Caenorhabditis elegans: one gene and its partner. The protein of the gene in region 1 binds, or shares a complex with, the protein of each later gene. Each region holds a gene or a part of one and is shown on either strand. Other genes may lie near its edges.

The links.
Region 2: npp-18 (region 1) and npp-5 share a complex: the UniProt entries of both Caenorhabditis elegans proteins name them as parts of the nuclear pore complex.

Annotation. Positions count from the first base shown.
Region 1 is NC_003281.10:13,295,102-13,299,570, forward strand, and holds npp-18 (Nucleoporin SEH1), read left to right. Parts: upstream 1-1,751; 5' UTR 1,752-1,755; coding exon 1,756-1,821; intron 1,822-1,876; coding exon 1,877-1,987; intron 1,988-2,032; coding exon 2,033-2,094; intron 2,095-2,145; coding exon 2,146-2,213; intron 2,214-2,263; coding exon 2,264-2,651; intron 2,652-3,238; coding exon 3,239-3,495; intron 3,496-3,545; coding exon 3,546-3,685; 3' UTR 3,686-3,892; downstream 3,893-4,469. Other genes in the region: pgm-2 (Phosphoglucomutase-2), read left to right, coding at 4,278-4,437. UniProt on the Caenorhabditis elegans protein: Probable component of the nuclear pore complex (NPC) which is involved in the trafficking of macromolecules between the cytoplasm and nucleus. As a component of the GATOR complex may function in the amino acid-sensing branch of the TORC1 signaling pathway.
Region 2 is NC_003280.10:11,596,144-11,601,954, reverse strand, and holds npp-5 (Nuclear pore complex protein 5), read left to right. Parts: upstream 1-2,145; 5' UTR 2,146-2,149; coding exon 2,150-2,255; intron 2,256-2,311; coding exon 2,312-2,424; intron 2,425-2,472; coding exon 2,473-2,679; intron 2,680-2,731; coding exon 2,732-3,755; intron 3,756-3,801; coding exon 3,802-4,250; intron 4,251-4,431; coding exon 4,432-4,677; intron 4,678-4,733; coding exon 4,734-5,030; 3' UTR 5,031-5,188; downstream 5,189-5,811. UniProt on the Caenorhabditis elegans protein: Involved in kinetochore assembly and chromosome segregation during embryonic mitosis.

The DNA of each region.
Region 1 (4,469 bases):
AATTAATTGCACCTAAAATATAAATTTAGTTTTGAAAAACGTAAATTTCAGTATACTGCAATTTCGCTTCTCCTCGATTCGTGATCACAATCACGACTGACTTTCACATGGCCTGTCTCAGTCTTGATACGCACGGATCCGGGGCACTTTCTCGAGTTTTCCAGTGTAACGTTACATCTGAAATAAATTAATGAAATGTGTGACAAAAAATAAAATTTTTTCCTAGCGATAATTCACCTAGCCACAATGTCCCCATTTTTCAGTGTTTCTCTCGGACGATAGCTTTGATTGTTGAAAATGACCAATGGAGCTCCTCGTTTCGTCGAAATACTGAAATTGCATAGTTTCTATGTTTAATTGTTTTAGAAGTTAGAAGGCATACCAAAAATCTGAACTATTCTCGCTGATATATTCCGGTGCCATTTCAAGCACCCTCTTGGGCTATTGGCAATCGGTCTATAGTGCATCAGAGAACGTAACACGTGTGACTTGCTGGAATTTTATATTTTGATAGAGTTATTGATTAATAACAACCTATTTGTCAAAAACCAATCCGGATGGTATGGAGTCTCTTCGTCTTCAAACGGAGATTGATATGAATTGTGACCTAAAAATACAACGTCTGTTATTTCTATTTAATTATTAGTTAAGACCTACACAGAAGATTGAATTCACTGGTTTCCTGTAGATCGTGATCCATTTCTTCGGGAAATACAGCTGGATCAAAATCAAAAAATCTTTCAGTATTTGCCATGGAATCTGTTGTATCCAAGCTTGTTTCCTGAGTAGAATTGGCTATTGAATCGCATTCCGGGATATCGTCAGTGGATCTCGGCTCATCGAGCTCTCGAGAATTTGAAGGAAACTGCATATACGAATCAGACCGACGTGGTGATGCAGGTGGAGTAACCAGATCGATTGTTGCAGGAGTCGATTCACATACATTTGTAGTAGACGCTTTCGGATTTCTTTTCTTCTTTAGATCCCTGTCGAACGCTGAAAAATACTTTTCACTCTTCAATTAATCTTTAGACATCAATACTTGCCTCTAAAAAAGCGTTTGGCTCCGCTTGGATCACTCTCAGCATCAAGTTCTTCTTTTTCCGGGAAGGAAATGCTCATTTTCGATTAATATTAATTTTGATCGATTCGAAATCGATTGCAACCCGTTTTTGTCATCGAAAATTCTGAAAATATCCGTATTTAGCTCGAATAAAACTAATTAATTTCCATTAAAAATCCGTTTTTAATTGAATTCCGTTCGAAATTTCCTGTTGGAAAAAGAAATAAATAAATACGAAGAAGCGTGCGGCGCATTGCAAAAAGCCGTGCGGCGCATTGCGAAGGACTGTGCGGCGGGCTTGCGAAAAGGCGCGCAGCACATTGCCCTACTGAAAGCGTTCCTTACGAAAAAATCCCCTTACGAAAACGTACCCCCTCGATTAGAATAGAACAGTTTAGCAATTTCTAACAATTAATTAAACAAAATTTGGATGAAAAGTCTTTAAAATGTATCAATTCATTGTGCCGCAATTAATTTAGGCCAACATTAAATTTAAAAATTTTACATTTACCGCATCTTCTCGTTTGTCCGAGAGGACTACACCACTCGCTCCTAGCGAGACCTTCCACCGGCGAAAGTGCCTGCGCCTTTAAATTTTGAATCTATTTTTTTGTTTCTACGCAACGATTTTTCTTCTTTTTCTCTTATTTTTCTCTAATATTCACTATAAATATTTATTAATTTTCAGAAAAATGCAAGAAGACGACTCGGTGAAACCTTTTCAGACCGTCGGCGCTCACAGAGATCTCATTCATTGTGTATGTTGGCTTGATTTCGAAAAATTAGATAAAAACTGAAGATTTTTATTTCCAGGTTTCATTCGATCCTCATGGCCGACGAATGGCAACATGTGCCAGCGATATGACAATGGCGATTTGGGATCGAAAGCCAGACGGAAATTGGCGTAGATCTGCACACTGGAAGGTAGAAAAGAAATTTCAGAAAATAAAATAATTTTCCTCATTTCAGTGTCATGGTGGAGCAGTTTGGCGCGTTATTTGGGCTCATCCGGAATTTGGGCAGATTGTTGCGTAAGAAACTAGAAACTGTCACCCGAATATACTTTATTGATTGATTTTCAGCACCTGCTCCTACGACAGAACGATTGTAATTTGGGAGGAGCAAATTGTGAGATCAGAGAAAGATCTGAGTGAGTATAATTCGCTCTAAATATAATCCAAAACATTATGTATCTCTCAGAGCAAAAAGAATCCCAATGGATCCGAAGAACAATCATCTCCGATAATCGTTCAGACGTCACCGATATCTGCTTCTCCCCGCGCCATCTGGGTCTCATGATGGCATCATGCAACGTTCTCGGAACCGTCAGAATCTACGAAGCACCGGATATTGTGGACGCTTCTCGATGGAATCTTATTCACGAGCTTCAAGCGTTTCATACCCGATGTGGATGTGTCACATGGTCACTTTCTCGTATGCACCGCCCGTTGATTGCTGTTGGTTCGGATGAGAAGAAGGCAGAGAACAAGAAACGAGTTGTGATCTATGAGAATATTGATGGATTGAGGAAATGGCAGCGAATCAACTCATTAGTCTTCGATCTACCATGCCCGATTACTGATTTGAAGTAGGAAGAACACGCTCTCCTCGGAGCCGAATAATTATTACAGCGCGCTTGCCTTTCCATTGAAAATAGCAGATTTTTCAGTATTAAAAAATCCGCTCTTTGAATAATTTTTTGTCTAGAAATTCCAAAAAATAATCGAATTTTCTAAAATCCGATATTTATCGGATTTGTGTCTAAAAATTTCAAAAACAATCGTATTTTCTTGAAAAATCCGCAATTTTATCAATTTTTTGCCTGAAAATTTTAAAAATAATTGAAATGTTCTGAAAATTCCGCTATTTTAACAAAATTCAAAAAATATTTAAAATTTTCTTGAAAAATCCGCTATTTTAACAATTTTTTGTCTAAAAATTCCAACAAAAAAAATTGAATTTTCTGGAAAAGTCCGCAGTTTTATCAATTTTTTGTCTGAAAATTCCAAAAATTATTGGAATTTTCTTGAAAAATTCGCTATTTTAATAATTTTTGTCTAAAAATTTCAAAAAAAATCGAATTTTCTTGAAAAATCCGCTATTTTATCAATTTTTTGTCTGAAAATTTCAAAAAAAAATTTCCGCTATTTTAACTATAATATTTAAAATGTTCAGATTCTCGCCGATATCGATGGTGGATTCGCATCAATTAGCCGTTGCATCAGGCGATGTTCACGTCTACAACATCAAAGTGGCTCGTTCGGCGATTCTCGAAGAAGACGGTGTCGAGAATCCGATTCAGCTGGCGGATTACAATCTGATCAAGGTGGCACTGCTCGGGGATCATCGAAAAGCATGGAGGCTTCGATATAATCTCATGGGATCAGTCATCTCGTCGACGAGCTTGGATGGAACACTGAGATCCTGGAAATGTTGGGAAAAAATCAAAAAGAGTCAAAAATGAAATAAAATTGATTTTCAGCACTCTTCGTGAACCAATGGGTAAAGCTGAGTGAGATGAATGTCGACGACTACGTTCCATCGCCTGAAGAAGTTCGCGCCTTCATCTCATCGAAAACTACCGAACGTCTTCCATCACAACTCGAGAAAACCTATTTCTAACGATATTTTTCTCTATTTTTTCTCGCCGATCATTTTTTTTCCGAATGATTTCTTATCAAAGCGTGTATTATTATTTGTTATCATCATCTGAAAACTGAAAACCGAGAACATTATCACCGATTTTTTTTTGATGTTTAAGTATTTTATCAATCTTCTGTTTAATTTTCAGATTTTTCATGCTGATCGGTTTCTGCAAGAATTAAACATTCCACTTATCTAACTTATGTAATTTTCAACGGTTTTTGTGCCTAGAAATATTTTTTGGACGTTTTTGTTAATTCTTTTTGCATTCAACATTCACCTAAATTCGAAAATTAAATATTTACTGAAACCCGATACTGTCTTTTTCACAGTTTCCACAATACCTCCATCAATTATTGTTGATTTTATCTCTTTTCCAAATCTAGGGATAGTGGGTTACTCGCAGAGAAATAGAGAAACGGCAAGGTCATTTACCTGGCCTTTTCTCATCCACACATGTCGGAATAATTGTGGTATTAGTGTCCTTATCTGCAAAATTTCGATTTTTTAAAACTTTTGTTGTCTTTTCCACAATTTTATTGCAAAATTTAAGCACTTTCTAATTTTCAGAATGACTCTTGGATGTGCAAAGCTTGACAAGCAAGTTGCCGATTGGCTCGCTTGGGATAAGAATGATAAGAATCGTAATGAAATTCAAAAGCTGGTTGATGAGAAGAACGTTGATGCATTGAAAGCTCGTATGGATACTCGATTGGTTTTTGGAACTGCTGGTGAGAAGAAAATAATATTACACAGCTGCAGT
Region 2 (5,811 bases), on another chromosome or scaffold:
ATCACCGTTTTGAATTTTGAAAAAAATGGCCGAATAGTTTTTTTTGGGAAAATTAAATGGGACATCGACGTATGAACCAGACGCCAAATTTTGCGATTTTGGCGCCAAAATTACGGTAATTACGGTACGGTCTCGACACGATAAATGTCTGTTAAATGCAGAAGAGCATTCGCCTTTAAATAGAACTGTAATTTCAGAGGCTCATTGCTGCGATTTTATTTTAATCGACTTTTTGAAGTTGTTCGATACCAAATTTAAAATAAATTTATTTTTAAAAAAATTGAAATAAAATAATAGAAACACATACATATAAAACATCGATGAAAATTCTACAGCAGCGACAGTTTGAAATTACATTAATTACAGTGTACTATTTAAACGCGCACACCACTTTACTAACTTTCAGAAATTTGTCGTGTCGAGACCAGATACCTTAATTTTGGCTCAAAAGTTCGCGTCTGGAACAATAGTTCTCTGAAAAAATATATGTAAAGCCAAATGGTACAAATTGAGATTTTTCTGTAAAGTTTACTTTCAATGGAAAGCCTAAAACTAATTGATTTTTAATTGGCATACTATTAGAAATTTGTAAAAATTTTCATTAATTTAAATCTGAACGTTTATCAGCGGCTTTAAACATTTTGAAAATATGCATTAATTTTTTAATAAACGCAAAAAGTTGAAAATATCTGCGTATTTTTTGTTGTAATTCAACATGATGTTCGAAATTCAATACATCTTTTTTTTCTTCTTTCTTATGCTCCTCCTCTCCCACACTATCAAGTTTCGGGGGTCTTCTCTCTCGTTTTTTTTGCAGAACTTGTTCCAAACTCACCTTTTACCATTGCATTTTGTGTTGTCTTTTAACTGAAGTCGGCAGAAAAAAATCCGGTGATCGATTTTGGGAATAGGTGGCGACGATTTTGAAAAGCAGGTATTTAGCGATGAAAATACTCGAAATTAATTTTAACAAATATGATTGATAAACTAAAGATATGAAGCTACTAAATATGGCTCGGTGAGCTGGAAATAGTGGGTGAAGGAGTGGAGAGGCAGAAACAAAGAGAGACGAAAAAGAAGAGGTGCACTACGGCTCCCATGCAAAACTAGCATCTTTTCGTTTTTTTTTTTTGGTTTTCTTGTCGGTTGGTGTAATTGATGTGATGGATTACACTTGAGAAGCCCAAGGAAGGAAGTACCAAAAAAGGGCAAACATTTTTTTACAAGGAATCTTTTTTTTGGTCTATAGTCCCCTTATAAGGACTTTTTAGAGGAGGAGGTGTAGGTTTCTTCCCTAGAAACAGAAAGCAGTCCAACATATTGAATATAACTTTTTAAATAATTTATAGAATTCTCCTGAATTTTTAAAAAAATAACTTTTTCAATTGTTCGAACATAACAAAAATGGACAGGCCGCCAAAGTCCTAGGAGATTGATTGCACAAAGCCGCAAGCTTTTCGTACGAAATAGTGCTCCAGAAATGGTTCCATTCTAGTTATTAAATCAAAACTTTGGTCTATTGTCCTCTCCATATGTTTTTCTCTAATTTGAGTATACAATATACCCTGTTTTGTGTGCATTGAGCCTGTGCATAAGACGAACGATACGAACGGCCCCTCTCCTCCTTACATTCTTATACACAGTCTCAATTCACACAAAACATGTGGTTCAAAGAATATATCCTTATGTAAGTAGCAAACGCAAGCGTAGGAGCACGTATTGATCGATTTATAGACAGTCACAATGCACACAAAACAGATGATTTAGAGGATAGCTGCTACTGGAACGCAAAAATACGATGTGCTTTAAAATAAGAGCTCTCATCAACCCATAACGTCGGCTCTCATTTTTGTTTTTTATAGCTGATTGCACCTTATTAAACAATTTGAAGATGAAAGGCACTACTCGGAAAAGTTTCAAATTGCAATTTCTTCCATTTCTGTGTTTCAAAAAAGTTATGAAAACCTGAATAAACCCCTCTTTTTTGAAAGTCCGCGCATTGTGTTCTCAATGGAGCGCACTACCATTATTTTCGTTTAAGCAAAAATTTTCAAATTTCGAAGGGTTTTCGTCGTGTAAAACGATTTTTTTTTCTGTTTCATGTAGTTTTTAAAACTTTATTTTCCTTTAAAAAAATATTTTTAGCACAATGACAGACTTGTTCGCTTCGGGGGACAATTCTTCCAACTCCTTCGACGACTCTAACGATGAAATCGCGCGCAAAAATGAAACCGCTTTCAAATACACTACAATTTGTGAGTTTAACACTCGATGCGAAAGGAAAACTATTTTAAAAATATATAATTTGCAGTTCACACAAATCTCTCAGAAAAACTGTACCACGAATTATGTGCATTGGCTTTCGGAGAGTTCGATATTCCTCAAGGGCAAATCTCGCCACTTATGTGGACCAGACTTCATGAGGTTTGATTCACTTGAAAAAGGCCTCTGATAAATGTAATATTTTTTCAGATCTATTCAGAAGTAGAAATGCAGACTCGAAAACTTCCTGCAGGATCTAATTATTCCGCCAGTTCACAAAAATACGCGAATGAAGCCGTGCAAATCGCCAGTGTTCTTTCAATTTATACCGCGTTGGCTCATGAATATGATGAGACTGTGGAAGTTTCTTTGCTTAGCAAACTAGTTGTAGAAGATGTGGAGTTTAGAAGGATTTATGTAAGATCTTAGACTTTTTATTCAATTAAACACATAATTTCTAATTTTTTAGGCTCTTCTTCTTTGGAGTGAGAAAGCGATCAGCGAACAGCAATATGAAAAAGGTCTTGGAGACAAAGTTCGGAAACTCGAAGGAATCAAATCTTCTAGAATCAATTCAATGATGGCTTTGAAACGACCAACATTTGGAGCAGCCAATGCTCCAAAAGATGCTTCACTGGATCCAGATGCTCCTGGTACCAAAGAAGATCAAGCTCTCGAGCAAATGGCGATGAACGTTTTCTTCCAATTAATTCGAAGTGGAGAAACTTCCAAAGCTGCGAATTTAGCCATTGATCTAGGAATGGGAGCGATCGGAGCTCAACTTCAGCTTCACTCGATGCTCCGGAACCCACTTGATATTCCACTAGAGGCATCTAAACAGAACTTTGGGGAATATAAAAGATCTCGACGCGCAAAGTACTACCAGATGACACAGAAATTGATAGAACAATCGCAGGGGAGCGAAGATGATGCTTACTGGATGCTGATTTCTGCGATTCGTGGGAATATCCAACCAATGCTAAAAGCTGGAAAGTCAGTGATTGAAAAAGTATGGGCATATGCAAATTCTGCAGTTCTCGCAAGAATTCTTGCCGCCGAGGGAGCCATGACACAGGAAACTATTTCGACGTTGTTCAACGTTCCACTAACTTCAAAATCAATCTTAGATGAGCTGAGATCAGAGGCTGATCGTACCAAAGAAGTATACATCCTACTCCGAGTGATCGATGACATGCTCAATGATGACATTGAAGATCTGTACAAGTTCGCAAATGAAACAGTCGGAGAATTTGTTCCAAATGATAAAAATTGTCAAGTGAACATGCTCGCACTCGACATCTTCTTCCACCTCGTCGCAGTTTCTTATGCGAGTGGTTTCGAACCAAATGACGATGGAAATGCTGTAATTATTCTTGGATTCGATGATCTTCGTGCACGCAGTGGAACCTCATCACACAAGAAAATGGCTGCATTTTATTCAAGATTCCTCCCAGAAGATATGAAGCTTCCAGAGATTGTGGAGACTATGAAAGGTAATTTAAAAACTGATGATGATTTTTAAAAAAATTCTCTTTTCAGCTGTCGATTCTGATGAAGAACGTGAAATCCTGGCTGAGTCGCTGAAACAATCTGACATTGATTTCGGACGCTGTGCGTGCACACTTATTGAGCAAATCAGAAAAGATGACAAAACGAAGGTTGTAACTTTGGAAGAGCAGATTGATCACTGGCATTGGCTTTTGATAGGTGGAGAAGAGACTGCACTGGCTGCTCTTGAAGAATGTAATCGACTAGTTCGTAAAGTGATGCTGTCGACACCGATTGACGAGTCTGTAATTAGGCAAATTATTCGAAAAGCGCTTCATTTCGAAGTTCCTAAGCTATTGTCACAAGCTGTTGAAAATGAAGCAACTGTACTTTCACTGATCACTGATGGAACCCTGTTTGAGCAAAAACCTGGATCGCAGCTGGCAATTAATAAAATCGAACACGCGGCTCTGGAATTTTATGGGCTCTGCTCTTTCGTGGTATGATTTCTTATCCAAATCAGCGGAATCTTTAACCACTGGTTAAAATTACAGTAATCTTTAAAGGTGCAAACCGTCTCGTATTGAACAAAAATTTGTCGTGTCGAGACCCCGTACTCAAAATTTCGCTGCTGAATAATATTCAATTTCATATTGGCCATTTTAAAATCCGAATTTTCAGGATGTGAACAACTTCATGATCACTATTGCTCTGAAACTTGGGCTCATGTTCAAGTACACACCGATCACTGATGATGAGCTTTCCATGATCGGAGGAGTCAAACGACTCGACAACACCACAGCTGCTGACTGGGAAGCTTCACTGAGAGTCCGAGCTCGTGCTGAGCAAACTCTGCGGGAAGAGGTGCTCAAAAAGAGAGCCGCCGAGCATAATACGCGAGTTGGAATGGTTCAACAACATTTAGATGTAGGATTTTTAGAATAAATTGTTGTGAAAAAAATTTTAAAAAATTGAAATTTCAGACTGTTCTTCCGATGCTCCGTGGGCTGGTTAACAATATTGGTGTGCGCCCGGAGTACTTTTTGAGCCCACGTGCTAATGGAGATCCAATGCGTGTACACCGGAAAGAAATTCAGGAGATTCGGAATCTCTTCCTCCCGCAATTCTTCATCCTTCTTGCACAAGCCGCCGTGAGACTCGACGATACCACAAATTTCAACGATTTCTTCACAAGCTTCAATAATGACCTCGGGCTCGATCAGGAATGGATGGTTTTCATCAAAGCTTTCTACGCAGAACTCAATCTCAAAGTCGAATAATTTTTATTTCATTGTTTTTTTGTTTGATACCTGTTTTGATTACCATTTTTTATCACTATATTTCTGACTTCTTTCTCATTTTTTTTAAATTTCCGGTCGATCTTTCACAGACACGATTGTATCCGTGCAGTATTTGAAAATAACAAATTTTTCTGATTTCTGTGGGTTTCACGTGAAGATCTTCTTCAAGAAGAGGTCATCAGATTGCGGAAGATCTATATTACCGATCTGACGCAAGACTACCATGTATATTTGGAAAGGAAAAATTTTCTGTGCAGAGGTTGATGGTTTAAATTTTGATTTAGATATTTTCTTCATTTAATTTGAAAATTTCCATGCCTGAAAATATCCTCAGTGAGGATTCTCACCTACCGTATACTTAAAGGCGCACACCTGTCTCAACCGGAGCGTTGCGAGACCCGCGGCATCAAACTACACACTGTGTTTTGATGATCTTTCGATCGTTCTCGAAAAAAGAAAGAGCAGAGTTCATTAAAACAAATGGCGGCAAAATGTCTATAAAGGCGAGTCGTTCTCTTCATTATCTTTTGATTTTCGATGTGTTCTCCTTATTGTTTTGTTCGTTGACCCCTTATCTGCATTCTCACCGCTACGCAACGTATATTTAACGTCAGCTTTTTCGCAGAAAATTTTTCTATATTCTCATGCAAATTTACTGTTCTCAATGCTGGACGTGTCGCTTGTGCTTTGATCTCAAATCTAACATTTTCCCTTCAAATATTTTATATCTGCAACGGTGGGGCAGAAATTTAAAAGTTGA